Linked DNA regions of Rhinolophus ferrumequinum. The protein of the gene in region 1 purifies or fractionates together with the protein of each later gene. This does not show direct contact. Links are inferred from orthologs where the notes say so. Each region holds a gene or a part of one and is shown on either strand. Other genes may lie near its edges.

What was found. Proteins that work in one complex are often made in the same cells at the same time.
Region 2: the proteins of PPM1G (region 1) and KPNB1 purify together in Homo sapiens (affinity purification with mass spectrometry; 3 studies listed by BioGRID and IntAct, with this or other methods). This does not show direct contact. The link is inferred for Rhinolophus ferrumequinum from reciprocal best matches to the Homo sapiens genes PPM1G and KPNB1.

Annotation. Positions count from the first base shown.
Region 1 is NC_046296.1:53,289,354-53,297,344, forward strand, and holds the start of PPM1G (protein phosphatase 1G), read left to right. Parts: upstream 1-4,988; 5' UTR 4,989-5,244; coding exon 5,245-5,364; intron 5,365-7,991.
Region 2 is NC_046304.1:35,252,891-35,260,500, reverse strand, and holds the start of KPNB1 (importin subunit beta-1), read left to right. Parts: upstream 1-4,598; 5' UTR 4,599-4,940; coding exon 4,941-4,980; intron 4,981-5,079; coding exon 5,080-5,138; intron 5,139-7,220; coding exon 7,221-7,403; intron 7,404-7,610.

The DNA of each region.
Region 1 (7,991 bases):
GGGAGGCCAAGGGCAGAGTACCAGAAAGAATGGAGCTATACACAGACAGAACTACGGAGCTCTGCAGAAAGAGCCTCTCAAGATTTGGGCTGAGTACTGAGCTAAAACATACACATGAGGATACTATCAAGGTTGAGGAAAGAACCATTTGAGAGGAGTAGACGGAACGATTTTCCAGTGGAGGAAAAGCCATTTTGGCGGACAGGGTAGCAGGATTCCAGATGGCCGATTTCCTTTTATTGCTGTTTGTTCTTTAGTCCCTAGCAAATTGTAGAGCCAAGTGATTACAAATGTGAGGTCATTTGTTACTTTGAACATGAGCCTCAGTTAAGAATTTTGCCCTTGTGTTGACTGCAAGAAGCAGCAGAATTTTTCTAACACCATGGTTTTCTTAGACCAATCTGTCAGGCTCAACTCTGTGTCCTCAGTTCTCAGCAACCCGTATGGCAAAGGGATTGTCTTACCAAAAGATTTTGAGGAATCCCTAAGGAATGGTTAAGTGAGCCACATATCCTCCCTGGAAATGACTATCGCTTTTGCAGGGGTCCTTGTTCCAAACCACTGCTGCTCTTGAACTTTGCCAGCTCTCCTCCAGGCTCTGCACACGGCCCCCATCCCAATGCATAAAGATCTCCTCACTTTATTCCCCAAAGCTCAGCTCAATCCAGGCTATTTAACAAGACACAGAGGCACAGACATAAAAACAAAGAGTAGTCCACTACTGTCACTAGAAGTGGCTATTCTTCAGATTCCTGATAAGGCAGAGCCAATTCAACCTGCGCCTTTCCCCCCCAACTCCCCACAGGACTCCCCAGACTGTCACATCTTGAAATCCTAATGCCAGCAATAGGCATGGGTCCAAAAGAAAGTCTTTCTTTTTCAGTTCAAGGCCTGCTTCTTTCCACTCTAGAATGTCTGACTGAACAATTGATTATCTTTTCCTTAGGAGGAAAACTCACCTCCACCTTGGCCTGGTTGATGCAATCCCAGGAGTCATTGACACTTTCCAGACTTGGGATAATTTGGCTTTACATAACACCACTTGTGAGATACCAGTGGTTCAGGCCAGTTCTCTTATGCGAGGTATGAAGGAAGCATTGGCACCCTCTTCAGGATGGCTCCAGTTTTGTGATCACCTGTAAGCAAACAGATAAAAACATACATAAGTTTCCTGAAAACAAATAAGGATTTTAGGAGACATTCCAGTTCATATTCTTATTTAGGGGAAAGAAGTGATCTCTCTCTCCCTGGAAGGGCACTGTCTTGCGAACGACGCAATTTATATTAATAATAAATAAACTAACCCCAGGATCTCAGTCTGAAACATCTGAATTTTGGTTAATGGTCATTCCACAATTATCTTTATGTATGTATAGAGGACCCATGCTAATGATGAAAGGCAGATTGCTTCCAAATGTCTCTGAGAAAAGGCAGATTGCTTCCAAATGAATTTATGTCTTGCCTTCTAGAAATACAAAACTGCAATATAAAAGTTTCATTTATTGGGCACCCTTTAAAATTTATGACTACAAAGAGGAGTCTGGCCTAGGCTCAGAAATAGACTCTTTCCCCTCTCTTTACTAGTAACTTAAAATATCTGTATTTTTTCTTTCTTAAGCCCTAAATCTTACCCCCATACTTTTTTTCCTTCCTTGAACCAATCTTTCACATTTAATCACACACAGGAAAGAATATAGTATCAAAACTACTGAGCTTCCAAAGGTAATATTTTATAACTAATATAATGTCATCAGAAACAGGATGTGAAAGAAGTTTATATGAAGGGTCAAAATCAGATTTAGGAACCTCAAGAAAAGCCTGGGGTAGGGGGGAGTCTAGAAAACCTACTTCCCAACTTCTCTTTTCTCATTCTCTCCTCACTTAACATCCTCCATATGCAAGTCGGGTTTTTCAATCTGTGGTCTGTTACCCTCTGGGAGTCTTGTATTTCCAAGGCACTATGAGTCTTCCATGAGAATTTTTAAACTTTGTGCTTTAAGTTTTATAATATAAGCATATTAGCATATTTTGGATCATCTGAATGAACACTTTTATTTTTGAATGATCTTGTGTTTAAGTTTACAGTTGAATTGGTGTCACATTATACTCTGAAGTTAGCATTTAACTTTTAAGGCAGTGTTGCCTGGCCTGGGATCCCTTGAATTCCTTGAATCTACAGAAATATGTCTTAGTGGTTCACAATTTCTCATATTTGAAAAACACAGGCTTAAATCACCTTCTCCTCTTTTCTCCTTTCTGTTTTGGGAGGTAATTGGAAAGAGGCTCATGAGAAGCTAATAGAAACGGACAAAAGAGGTTTTAAAAATGCCTCATATTTTCAATTTATCTTTGATGTTTGACCAATTTGGGAGACAAAATATAATCAATCTAGTGATTTCTTTAAAAAATAAAGCAAAGGTGATACTGGGATACATAATTGTGAATATGTGTAAGAATTACCAAATGCTTAGAATTTGTTATTTTCTATCCACAACAAACCAATCCCATAGCTTTATCCCTTGTTGTAGAATGAACTTGGTATATATTTTAGAGACCCCTTTTTTTTTTTTAATTCAGTCCAGCCCCTAAAATAGATGTTCAGGAGCTGCTTTTGTTACATGTGTTTGATTAGGCAGATTTTTGAAATGCATAGTTTAAAGACAGGCTCAAGATGGAATACCAATCTGAATACCAATACTCATTCTCAGATGGAATACCAATCTGAGAATATAATGTTTTGGGTTTTTATTTCATTAAAAACATTTTTTTTTCCTATCAAAGCATGAAAACTTTGTTTGTGTTCTTGGAAGTATACTGTAGTGGTTTCGGGGGAAATGGAGATGGAGTGGAGAGAGGATAATCTTCATATTCTTTGTCTCTTTTCCCACCTGTTTGCATGAGCCCCCTTAGTATCTCCATTTCCCCTCTCCGACACACCATTGCTCTCCCAATGCCTCACTCTTTCCTTGAGTCATATTTTCTTTTCCACTTTTTTCCTTGTCTATTTGTCTTCCATTTTGTTTCAGGCAATCTATTTTTTGTGAACATCATTTAATAATTTAATGTTATTTCCATCCCTTATTTAGCATGTGTTTGTGGATACTTAATCAATGGTAGTCTTTTGGTTGACTAACAATATAACATTTATGCAAACTTGGCAATTTATATTCAGCTCCTCTTATCCCTAAAGCAATTTGGAAAAGTATGTATTGTATATCTGTTTTATAGATGAGGAACTGAGCCTGAGAGAGAATATGTTACTTGTGAAAGACCACGTAGCTAATATTATGTCAAAACTCATGCTTTTTTCATTCTTAAAAAAATTAAAAAAGAGAAGAGGCTTATGTTCTTTTAACACTGCCTTTGTCAGAAATCTCATCCAGGATCATGATGACCTACAGTCCTAATTAACATCTTCTTCTACCCATATAGTCTAACTTCAACCCAGTATTTTCAATATTTGTGTATGTAGTTGTCACCTTAAAATGAACCAACCATTTCCCCCTCCCCCGCTCCCCAACTAGTACCCTCTCACCACCACACCATTTTGTTAATGGCTCCACCAGTTTTTGTCATTCAAGGTCAAAATCTTGGTGTTCATTCATTCATTCAACAAATATTTAAATACTGTTGAGCACATACAAGAATTGTGCTAGGGATGCTGGCGCGGTTTACAACAGTAAGTTTGATGCAGTTTTTGCCTTCATAAAGATTTATAGTCTATCAGGAAAAAAACAAGTGGGGACCCAAACTAATGTAGACTTCCTGAAGGAAGTGATGATAAAAGGGTGGGGGTGGGGTGGGAAGGTTTATTCCATGGGTGACAGCCTGAGAAGAGCAAACGCAGCTTTAGAGGAACCCAAAGACATATTGCTGAAGCACTGAGTGGTAGTGGAAATGGAAAGCAGGAGAGACATGCTAGAATCGGTTCAAGCATGAAGGGTCTGGTAAACTATGTTAAGGAATTTGGAGTAGGTCTCTTGAAGAGCAGGAGGAAGCCATTAGTTTTGTATTTTAAAAATCAATCTGCTTATAGTTTGGAGAATTTTTCCTTTTCATCCCATCCCCTGAATCCAATCTATTGCTAGGAGTTCTTACTGTCTAATTTGTTCCTTCATCTCTATTCCCACTGCCACCACCCTAGTCTCAGCCCTCCCACCTCATGCTTGGATTAAGAGCCCTTTAACCAATTATTCTCCAGAGCCTGCCCCCCCCCCCATCTATACTGCACACAAAGACTAGCCTAACAGCCCTAAAATGCTATACCAGGATAACAGTTAAGTCCAAATCACCCATCTTGCTTGCCACTTACTACCATCTCTATCCTTATTTAATACTAATACTTAAAATCACTTTCGAACGAGGCCAATCACTTTCCTCAAAAATCCTCCCCAATGCATTTTAGTCTTTCCTCACCCCTGCAACCTCCTAACGTTATTCCCTTCTCCCCCAGCATAACGCGCTCCTGAGGATTCAAGCAACAGTGCGTCCTCCTCGCCTTTGATTTCTTCCCATCTAGCATAAAATGTGCCAAACATTTCTGCACTGCATTAACTCGACTGATGTCATAGAGGTCGTTTTCTCTTTTGTCATAAAAGACTCTTCCACATTCTACTCGAACAGGCCTCATAAGGCCTGGCCAGGTACTTCGTGCGCTCGGAAAAGCTAGTCAACTTGAACTGAACTGAATCGGCCGGGGTTTGCGGAGTCTGAGTGTGCGGTGGAAGCCGAGGGTGGGGGGGAGGCCTGACACACTAGAAGATGGACCGGAAGCGCCGGGTCCCAAACAAAAGAGTTTCACACAAACATGCGAGAGACCAGGGTAGGGGAGCAAACACGGGGGACAGCAGGAGACCGCTACGCAAGACCAGCCGCCTTGGGGACCGAGGGAGTCAGGCTGCGGCCGTTGGTGGGCGTGGCCGCGCCAGTCTCGCGGCAGCGACGGTTGGGCGGGCCGTTGTCCCCGCGGGCGGGGCGAGTTGCTAAGGAAATGACTGTCTGCAGCGCCGTGCCGCGCCGCCCCGCGCCGGCCGGGCGGGGTCTGGAGCGGCGCCGTTTCCGCTTCCGCCCCGTCTCCGTTTCTAGTCCCGTTACCGCCTCCTGGCCGGCCTCGCGCCTTTTACCGGCACCTTGCGTCGCCGCGCCGCTGAAGCCGCTCCTGCCATACGCGACCGCAGCGCTCCCGGCTCCGGCACGGGTCGCGGCCCGCTCACCTGCCCCTGAGGCCGCCGGCCAGCCGCCGCCATGGGTGCCTACCTTTCCCAGCCCAACACGGTGAAGTGCTCCGGGGACGGGATTGGCGCACCGCGCCTGCCGCTACCCTACGGCTTCTCCGCCATGCAAGGCTGGCGTGTCTCCATGGAGGTGAGGCGGGAGGGGCCCATAGGCTGGCCGCTGCAGGGCGGGAACCCGTTGGAAAAAGGGAGCGGGGGGGATGGGGTCATTCCTGGGGAAGGGTCCAAATCGAGACTGCGGCCTCAGCCGCAGTTTGGGGGGGCGGTACCAAGAGCGGGCCTGGTGCCGAGAGGGAGCTGCCGGTGCTTGGGGACCGTATGTCTGTGGCCAGCTTGGCGGCGAGGTTTTGGCCATGTGGGGAGAGGCACCTTCCGCCCACTGACTGCCCTCTCCCCGTGCCTTCGCGCCATCGCTCTCGTGCCAACCCAGCCCTCTAGGCTCATAAACGGTGTGACGTTTTGTGTGGGAGTAAAGATGAAAAGAGGGACTGTTTATTCATTTACTTTTGCGAGGGATTAGGCGAATAGATGTGAATGACGGTACTTGAAATTAAAAAAAAAATTTAAATACGTGAGAGGCTTCGTTGGGCTAGGAGTTTGACAGTGACAGAAAGCCGGGGCACATAGCCTGTTTCAACTCAAGTTCTTAACGCCTAGTTGCCTGGCCCTGGGCACCGCATGTTAGTTTCAGAAGGTTCCACCTGACCTCCAAGAATTGTCACTCGTTTGTATTCTCATCAGGGCCTTTTACGGCCTTTGGAAAACTTGAAACGAGTCAGTAGTACTCCTTTTTTAACAAAAAATATGCTTGATATTTTCTCGGGATTTTTCGAAAACTTACTCAGTAATTTGCCATTTGCCTGTTCTTGTTGTTAATAGTTTCCATGATTTTTCAATCATTTCATCAATATATTTTTGTCTTAACCTGCAGAGAACTGATTTTTTTCTAGAAAACTTCACTGGTTAAAAGGAAAAAGTCTGGATAAAAAGGAGTACTATAGGCAAAATGGATGTGAAACTACAAAGGAGAACAGGGCAAACTATGGTAGGAAGGAAAGGAAGAAAGAGGTGTAAGATGTGTTTTTGTAAAGAGGATTGTTTGATCTAGGCAGAGGGGCCAGGGAAATGCTCTAATTATGTCTGGGATTGAGGGTTTATCCACTTACTAGGTGGGCTTCAGGTAACAGCCAAATACGGTCTCCCTTGGGAATTTCTTTAAATCCCTCGCTCCTCCCTGTGGTTAGCTCTGGAATGACAGTATGTAAACTTAAAGGTTTGTTTCATACTCAAATTTTATACCCACAGCAGAGTTTAAAAACAGTTTTATCATTAGGTATAAATTTCAAGATAGGAGGGGATCCTATAGTTCATCTCGTTTTGGCTCCTACATTTTACAACTCAGAAGTTGAGGCAAAGAAAGGTTAGGACACTTGTGCTTTGGTGGAAAGAATTTCTAGGATGAAATTGTTCCAAGACACTAAACATTTATAATCTGTGTTAACCTGAAGTATAACGTTCAGATTTCACTGGTGCACAGTATCAAGCTTACTTGGTACTTGGTAAATGTAATTGACTGTTAGAAATATGCGAATATAGTTTGAAAAGGAAAACATTTATGCAAGGCTGGGGTTTGGGTTAGTTGATAGTTTGGAGGTTCTATTTCTATGGCATTTTCTGTTAATGTAAGATTTGAAGTGACTTTCATCTCAGTAAGGCTTTTCCTTCAGGTTCCTCATTCTGTATTTTCCATTTTCCTCTTTGCTGTGGTTTTTCCATTTCTTTAGTACTCTTCTCTGGTTTTCTTTATGAATTGAGTTGCTTGGATATTCAGTTTTCCAAGTTATTTGCCTAGTGATTCTGTGCCCTTTGCTGCTTCTCTGCAGGGCATTTCCCTTTATTTCTCCTCTGGTAATTAGAAAATGACTTTTTCATCAGGGGCTGTTTGATTTTTAGAGATCTTGTTAGACTAGTCCTTAGATCCTAATGTTCCTCCTGAGAGGTAACCACTCAGGGTTTTAAAATCTTCCTTTTACATTGTTTCTGAATTTACCTTTGAGTTGTTAAAAATACCTAATCAAATCATCTTGAAGCCCTGTTTGAGATGCTTTTCTGCTTCCTCAATACTTTTCCTTCTGGCTTTGTTTCCTTTCTCCCCAATGTATATGATAGTTTCTTTGGAATGACAAGAAAATAACTATGACTTCTAGACTCGTATCTGTGAATCTTAACTTTTCACAAAGTGTACTTCTGTTCCTCTTAACCTTTAGGGTGTAATTCCACCAATTAAGCCTGTTTGCTTGATCCTAAAGATTCAGTTGAGGTAAGTTTATTACATTAATACACATTACAAAGGTTGCTAAAATCCTGACACACAAATTCAGCTTTAGAGAGTATTATTTTATCCCTTCTCTTGAGGCAAGGATGGCAACTATCAACAGCTGGCATTTTATACTTTCTGCCTCTCTCCAGCCCCTGTTGCTGTGGAACCAGGGTGTTTTGAGGAGGGGTAATCAAAATACCACAGTTGATGTTCCCTTCCCTTCCTCCTTCTCCATGGTTTGGAGGGACCCTCAAGCTGGTTGAGGTATGTATTTTGGGGGCTATGAGGTAGGTTGTGGAAGGGTGCCTGAGAAATACATATGGAAAGGCTGTGTTTTTGGTGGCTATTAAGTCCAATCTGAAAACAGTTTTAGTTGATGCAGTCTTAAAGGGACAAAGGTACTTGTAGTTTTTGGTTGTGAGGTTCTCTGGAGTGAC
Region 2 (7,610 bases), on another chromosome or scaffold:
GGATCAAGTGAGATGGTTGGCTTGATGGGAACCAAGGTCCATGTGGGGCAAGTACGGATAACTCTGGAAAAGAAGTGCCTTTCACAAAGTCACTTTTCATGGGCCATAAGGGATCGTTGCATGTTTAGTTACACACGCTTCATTCAGTTAACAAATATGTGAGCACCTGATATGTGAGGCACAATTTTAGCAACCAACGAGACAGACAAGATCCCTGCTCTCATGGAACTTGCATTCTAGTGGGGGTGGGGACTGACAGCAGAGAAAAGATAATTTCAGGTTTTGAGACATGTTCTGCAGACAATCAAATAGGGTCCTGTCCTAAGGAGTATCCACGGAACGCCCTTAGAGTAGCCAGGGAAGGCCTGAAGAAGTGACACCTGATATGCGACAGGAATAATGGGCTAGAACAGCAAATCACAAAATCAGGAGACTCACAGATCATGGTGTGTTAAAGGAAAAGAAGGCTAGAGCCTAGTGAGCACAGGCAAGGCCAGGGGAGACGAGAATTCTTTTATGATAATATTCTGCTTATGGGTATTGAAGATAATAGCAACGTCTTCTTGGCTCCTTTCTCTCCCTTGTCTGTTATTTAGAAGTGTGTGAAAAGTCAGGAAAATGGCTATGATGTTTGCCCCATCGTCACTAAGCAGAGGGACACTCAGCCTTGCGGATGTCATAGTCACCTCCATTCTTCCTCAGCGCTAATGAGGCCAAGGTTTAACCCCTCTCCAGGTCAGTCAGCTTTACGCAGGAGGAGAGAGCACCAGGTCTCAGCCTGACTGCTTCTCCTCTGGCAGTCTTCTCATATACGAGCTGTGGGTTGGGAGGCGGGGTGTGTGTGTGTGTGTGTGGGAGACCTGGGTGGGGAAACTGCAGCTGAGCTCGACCATTCACCAATTCACTTGCTTACCAGGTACTGGTGAGTACCTCCTGGCACAAGCACCTCACAGAGAGGCTCCTGGTTTTGTTTAGACCACCCAACAGTGCGGTGACATTCTCCCATTTCACAGATCCAAAATGTTAAGTAAATTATTCAGGATCTTACAGCAGGAAGTGACAGAGTAAAACGGAAACGAGTTATTCTCTTTAATTTCAGAATTTGTTTATTAGACATGAATATTCCTGACATTCAAAAGTTATAGAGTAACAACAAAACCCATTACTTCATAAATAGCTCAAGAAATACAACTCAAAGCCTCCTTTGTACTTCTCATTCTTAAACGATGTGGACTCCAATTCTTCCCACTTGAGAAACACTAAATGGCATCACCATCCATTTCATAATACAAACCAGAAATCCAAATAGGTACCAGTGACATTGACACTTCTTTCGATCAGTCACCAAGTTCAATTAACTTTGATATCTATCTCTGTTTCCACTATTCTTTCTACCCTTCTCCTTTCTACAAGTATGATCCCTTATTTGGTTACAATGGCCTCCTAACTGGTCTCCCTGCATCCCTGCATCTACAGGCATCCTTCTTAAAACCTTTCAATGGCTGCTCTTTGCTCTTAAGATATAGACAAAATAGGATACAAGGTCTCATATGGGCTTTCCCCTACTCAATAATCTGGCTTTATCTCAATCTCTTGTTCTGTATTTTGGAGGCCCTGGCCTTCTTCCAGTTCGTCCTTAGAATCCCCAAGCTCCCTTTTACCACAGGGCCTTTGCATATGCTGTTCCTCCCTTCTCTACCTGAATAACACTCTTCTATTTCTCAGCTAAGTTTTCCCTGAGCCCCCTAACTAGGTCAGTCCTTAGCATCTGTCACTTTTACAACTTAACATTTGTTTGTGAGATTAACTGATTAGACGATCTTCCTTAATGGGCCAAGGACCACGAACTACTTGCTTGGTGCAACATACATGCTAAATAGCCAATTTATATATAACATATAACACACCAGGCAGTGTTCCTAGCACTGAACATGTATTAACTCAGGACCTCCCAAAAACCCTGTATGAGGAAGGTATAATTAGCCCCATTTTACGTAGTAAGCAATTTAAGTCACATAAGCTAAGAAGTGGCAGAGCTGGAATATGAACTCAGGAAGTCAGTTTCTGGAGTCTGTGTGCTACATTCACACTTCGGTGACTCACTAGCATCTGCTGAAATGAAGAGTGTTGAGTGATTTGATAGAGACTAGACAGCACCATCAGTAACCTTAGTTGAACTAAAAAATCATTTCACTTGGGTTTTGGTAAGGATCTTATATTTGACTGGAACTTTGCTGCAAAGCATTTATCTTCCCAGCATTTTAGTCCAGCTGCTTTAAAAATCCACTTGCGGGCCAGCCCGGTGGCTCAGGTGGTTGGAGCGCTGTGCTCCTAACACCCAGGCAGAGGTCGCCAGTTCGATTCCCACAAGGGCCAGTGAGCTGCACCCTCTACAGCTAAGATTGTGACCAGCAGCTCGCCCTGGAACTAGGCTGCCGTGAGCAGCCGGAGCGTGGCATAAGCTGCCAAGTGGCCAGCAGCCATCGTGTGCAGCCATGAGCAGCTGGTGGCCTGCGTGAGTGGCCGGCAGCCAGCGTGAGTGGCCAGCAGACAGCTTGGGCTGCTGTGTGCTGCCATGAGCGGCTGGTGGCCAGCATGAGTGGCCGGCAGCCATCATGAGCGGCCGGCAGCCGGCGAGAGCTGCCATGAGCTGCTGTGAGCGGCCGGCCGACCAACGACTGGCAATCGACTGCCTCAGTGGGGGGGGGGGGGGGGGAGCGCAAGACTCATAATACCAGCATGGGCCAGGGACTGTGTCCTACACAACTAGACTGAGAAACAACGGCTTGAACCAGAGCGGGGGGGGGGGGGGGGGGGGGGGGGGAAGCGGAAGAAGGGTAAAAAAAACAATCCACTTGCCTTTACTGGTATTATGACTGATGTTGCGCAGAGGAGAAGGCTCAGCAAACTGCTAGAGGGCAGAAGGCTCGGAGTAAGACAAAATTGTGGATCATTTGGAGTATGGGTAATCCACATAAGGACAATTCAAAGATTTTCATGGATGTCATCTCACTTAACCTTCATTGATTCCTAATGAAGTTACACACACAGGGCAGTTCTTCCTCAGTTACTAGATGAAGCAAAGCCTGAGGTTAGGACTGCTAAGCCATAGGAAATCAACTAGTCACAGGATGGTGAGCCTCGCGTTCCCACACGTCAGCTTCAGAATTTCAAAGGTATCTCTAGCAGAGAAATAGCTTTTCCTCTTTTAAGGATTAAAGATAAATGGCCAAACTTGCCTAATTCTTGGGTGGAACCTCTCAGTAAGAACAGTTCCTCCTAGGTTTTCCCAGAATGGCTAGAGTAGGGCAATTACTCCACAAGCTCAAGCTGCATGATGAAGAGGTCTATAAGCTAGTATCTACATCCAATTAACCATGTATCATATGTAACAATTCAGGAAATTCTTCACGTGGAGTCCATGTACCAATGTCAGGGGAAGTCAAGAACTGTACTGTATGCACATTTTCTTTATGAGCATTTTGCTAAGGAAAGGCTTTCATTAGTTTCTTCCAGGGCTTAGAACTTAAAAAGGCTAAGAACCACGATCCTTTAAGCCTGTACAAGCATTCTTTCTGGTTCACGGTTGTGCCTTTAAAGGCACCTTTGCAGAATGAGACATTTTCATTCCTTCAAGTACCTGGTAGCTACAATGGGGGTCTATGAGGAAATCAAATGCCCACGCCACGTGAATTAGACCTTACAGCAGCACAGACCTCAAACCCCATAAATAGATCTGAGGGAAGTGATTAGCATTCACCTCCTTGGAGGGGGAAGCTGGGTGTAAAGCCAAGGGCACTCAGTGCGCTTGAGTCCAGTCCCCAGCAGGCCACTAACCAGCTGTGCAACCGTGCGCAAGTCGCGTACCCTCTCTGGGCTTCAGTTTCCACATCTGCAAATTGGAAATTAAACCGCATGGTCTTCAAGGTCCTAACCAGCCACAAGCCTGGTACCAATGAGGCTTAGCCATTAAAGCAGTTTCCTGTGGGAGCGGTGCAGGGCTTTAACGGTCTCCCCTCCCCCGCTCAAGCCCGCGAAACTGTTCAACACGCCCCTCCGAGTGACTGCGCTTTCCCAACCGCAGCCCGAACACAGCTCCGCCCCCTCCCGGGGGCGTCCCATCGTGCCCCGCGCTGGGCTCCTACAGCGGCGGGGCGCCTGCCGCCTTTCCGCGGCCCCGACCCCGAACTACTCTCCCCAATTCTCCCCGGTGCCCTATCCTATCAACGCCTAGTATCCCAACCAATCACGCAAGCCCGGAGTCTCGCCTTCGGTCCACTCTCCTCCCAACGTTCAGCCGGTCTGAGCGCAAGGACCTTACCAGGCCAATCCAATCAGCAGCCGGCTCTGGCCTGCCCCACCCCGATTTCACTCCCCTCGGCCAATCCATGTGCCCCATTCCGGAGCCCGCCCAGCCAACCCGGGCCTTGAAACCAGCGGGCGAATGGGTGCAGGGCAGCCCTGCAGCGCTGACCGCCTGGCCAATGGGAGATACCGCGTGGCCACGGCGGCAGCCAATCGATGTGGAGCGCGGTGCCGCCGCGGAGAGGTCCGGCCCGAATATCCCTCCGCCTTCCTCCCTCCCTCTCTCTCCCTCCCTGCGAGCCGCCGTTCACTTACCGCCTCCCTTCCTTCTTTCTCCCTCCGCCACCAGAGCACCAGCCGCGCTCTGAGCTGCCCCCGGGGTCCCTCCCCCGCCGCCAGAGGAGCAGCTGCCGCCGCCGCCAGCAGAAAATTGGGAGGGAGGAAGGAAGGAAAGGAGGAAGGAAGGGAAGCCGGAGCGACTACCAAGAGGGAGCCGGTGAATGGGCTGGTGGTGACCCCCGCCCCCCACCCCACCCTCCCTTCCCACCCGACCCCCAACCCCCATCCCCAGTTAGAGCCGCCGCCCGAGAGGCCGGGCCGACGTCTTAGGAGGAGTCGCCGCCGCCACCTCCGCCATGGAGCTGATCACCATCCTCGAGAAGACCGTGTCTCCCGGTAGGACGCGGGGGCCGGGGGTCGGGCTGAGGTGATTGGGTGGGGGGGAAGGGAAGCCCTGGTTCCTCTGACCCTGTCCCCTTTCCCACTTCTCCCCAGATCGGCTGGAACTGGAAGCGGCGCAGAAGTTCCTGGAACGTGCGGCCGTGGAGAACCTGGTGCGTGCCATCCCGCCGTCCCCCATCCCGCGGTCTCCCCATCCCCTGCGTGCGGGCCTTCCCGCCCTCCCGGAGGCCCAGGCCTCGGGAACCCACCCCGCCCCATCCCGTCCCCCTCCCCCCCACCCGGTCCAACCTAACCCCGCCATCGGGAAGCCGGTGGGTGTGTCCCGCCCCGAGCCCCTGCAGCTGGCCAATGGCGCGGCGCGCCGGGGTGACTGCTGTCCAATCGCCGCGCGGCCTGTGGGCGGCGGTGCAGCGGGAGGGAGAAAAAGGGAGGGAAGGGAAGTTAGGTTGCGCCGCGCTGCGTGTTCAGCAAGGGTGGGGGTGGGGGAGCCGGGCCTAGGGGCCATGTGGAAGCTCCGAGCCCAGCTGCCCTCCCTGTTCTGACTGGGGCCAGCTTCTCCTTCCTGTCCCGTGGCCCCTGTGATTTTTCTCCACCTACTTCTCAGAGTTCTACCCTTTCCTATCTCCCTTGGTCTCTGCTCATCGCCAGGCCTGGCACCCGAATGCCTCTTGACCCATTCCGACAATATTTCTCCTTTTCCTTCTTTTCCCGGGGTATTTTTTTTCTTTCTTTTACTTGGATGAGTAAAGACTTAATCTGTACCCACACAACACGCTGAGCTCATCCTTGAGATCGGAACTGTTTCCAGATGAAATCACAGAGAAAAGTTCCTCGTTTTAAATATTTTCAATTTAAGGGGTACAGAAAAAATGAAGCTAAGTCCACTAGAGACCGGACTTCTGCATAAAAATGTGGGATGGATTGGTTGAAATAACCTGTGTGCCAACAGTTTCTCTTTGGTGTTCCTCTCCTGTTGGGAGGATGGGGAGCAGAGGGAAGGGTGGATGTTTCTTGACATCTTTAAAGCTAATAGGTAGTAAGTCTAAATAACACTGTAACCAGATGTGTTCTTTTGTGTTACCTAGGCAAATAAGCAAAAAAAAAAAGGGACAGCATATTTTATACAAACTGTCTTTGATTTTTTCCCCCCTTTATGTGCTAGGTTTTACTAACCTTTTTTTCTTTAACTTTCCATAGAAAGGATTTTTTCGACTGAAAACATTTCCATTTAGGGTATATTCCTGTTTCTGCTTTTGCTAACTTGCAAGAAGCCTTTTACCTTATTCCTAACATTACTTAGTGGTACATAATTAATAAAACTTTTAAGATTTACCTTCTGTGATTGCAGAACTTGTTAATGGTAAGGAACTATCTGCTTTTGGTTTTCCTGATAACTTCAGGCAAAGCTTTTAGACAGCTTTTTGCAAGGTAGAGGAGTGTGTTACATTTTTTAATAATGGGAGTAGTTTTGGGGATCTGCATTACAAAAGATTATGCTGTTTAGAAATCCACTATTTTTAGTGGACAACTCAAGTAGAAAATGTATAGGAGACTTGAGTGTTAACTGGTGGCTCTTAAATATAAAACCATTTTCCTTGACATTTTTATCTTTTCAGTTTTCCCGTTTCTAAATGTTTGCCAGTTTTTTTCTTATGAATCTGCTTTATTCATTGTTCGCCTCTTGCTGAACACTCAACTGAAATACAGAGGACTGGCCTCCTAAGTCTATATTTTAGATTTATAAGTATTTCCCTCTCATACAAGAGTACCTGCTTTCATGAGATCAAAAGCCACCCTGAGTATCATTCCATTCGGACTTAAGTTTTTTTAATTTAGAAAAATTTTTCTACCCAATGGTAACGTAATTCATTCAACAAATATTTGTCGAGTACTGTTCTAGGGACATAGAAAAACCCTCTGACTACCAGATTGTCAAACTTGCTTTATTTCTAGGGGTGTTAATGTGAAGAATAGGGCACTAAGAATGATGATGGTAGGAAAATCTGTAATTACTTGTTAAATGCTGAGGCTCCTTGAGTAGATGGATGACTTCTTCAATGTATTAAGTAACATTTTTATAGGAGTCGTAAAGTTATTTTTGAGTTTTCTGAGTCGTTATGATACATTCTAAAAAATTTAGGTTTTCTCAGTGTTTTTGGTGTTCCATAAGCTATTCTCAGTTGGTGAAATTCTCAAGAGATATTTCCATTCATGGATGCTGCTTCTTTTAACAGCCCACTTTCCTTGTGGAACTGTCCAGAGTGCTAGCAAATCCAGGAAACAGTCAGGTTGCCAGAGTTGCAGCTGGTCTACAAATCAAGAACTCTTTGACATCTAAAGATCCAGATATCAAGGCACAATATCAGCAGAGATGGCTTGCTATTGATGCTAACGCTCGACGGGAAGTCAAGAATTACGTAAGTAACTTTGCTCTCTTTGGTCATATAGCCTAAGGAACAAGAAAAATCTTTTGTCAGCTTTTTTGTCGTTTGCACGGCATAGAGTTATAATACAGATTGCTGGGCTCAAACCTTCACTTGATAAAAATTGTATTTGATTTAAATCTTTCTCAGTTCAGCTTGTCTGTTCCCATTAATGGATCAGAATTGTTTTCAGATAACCGA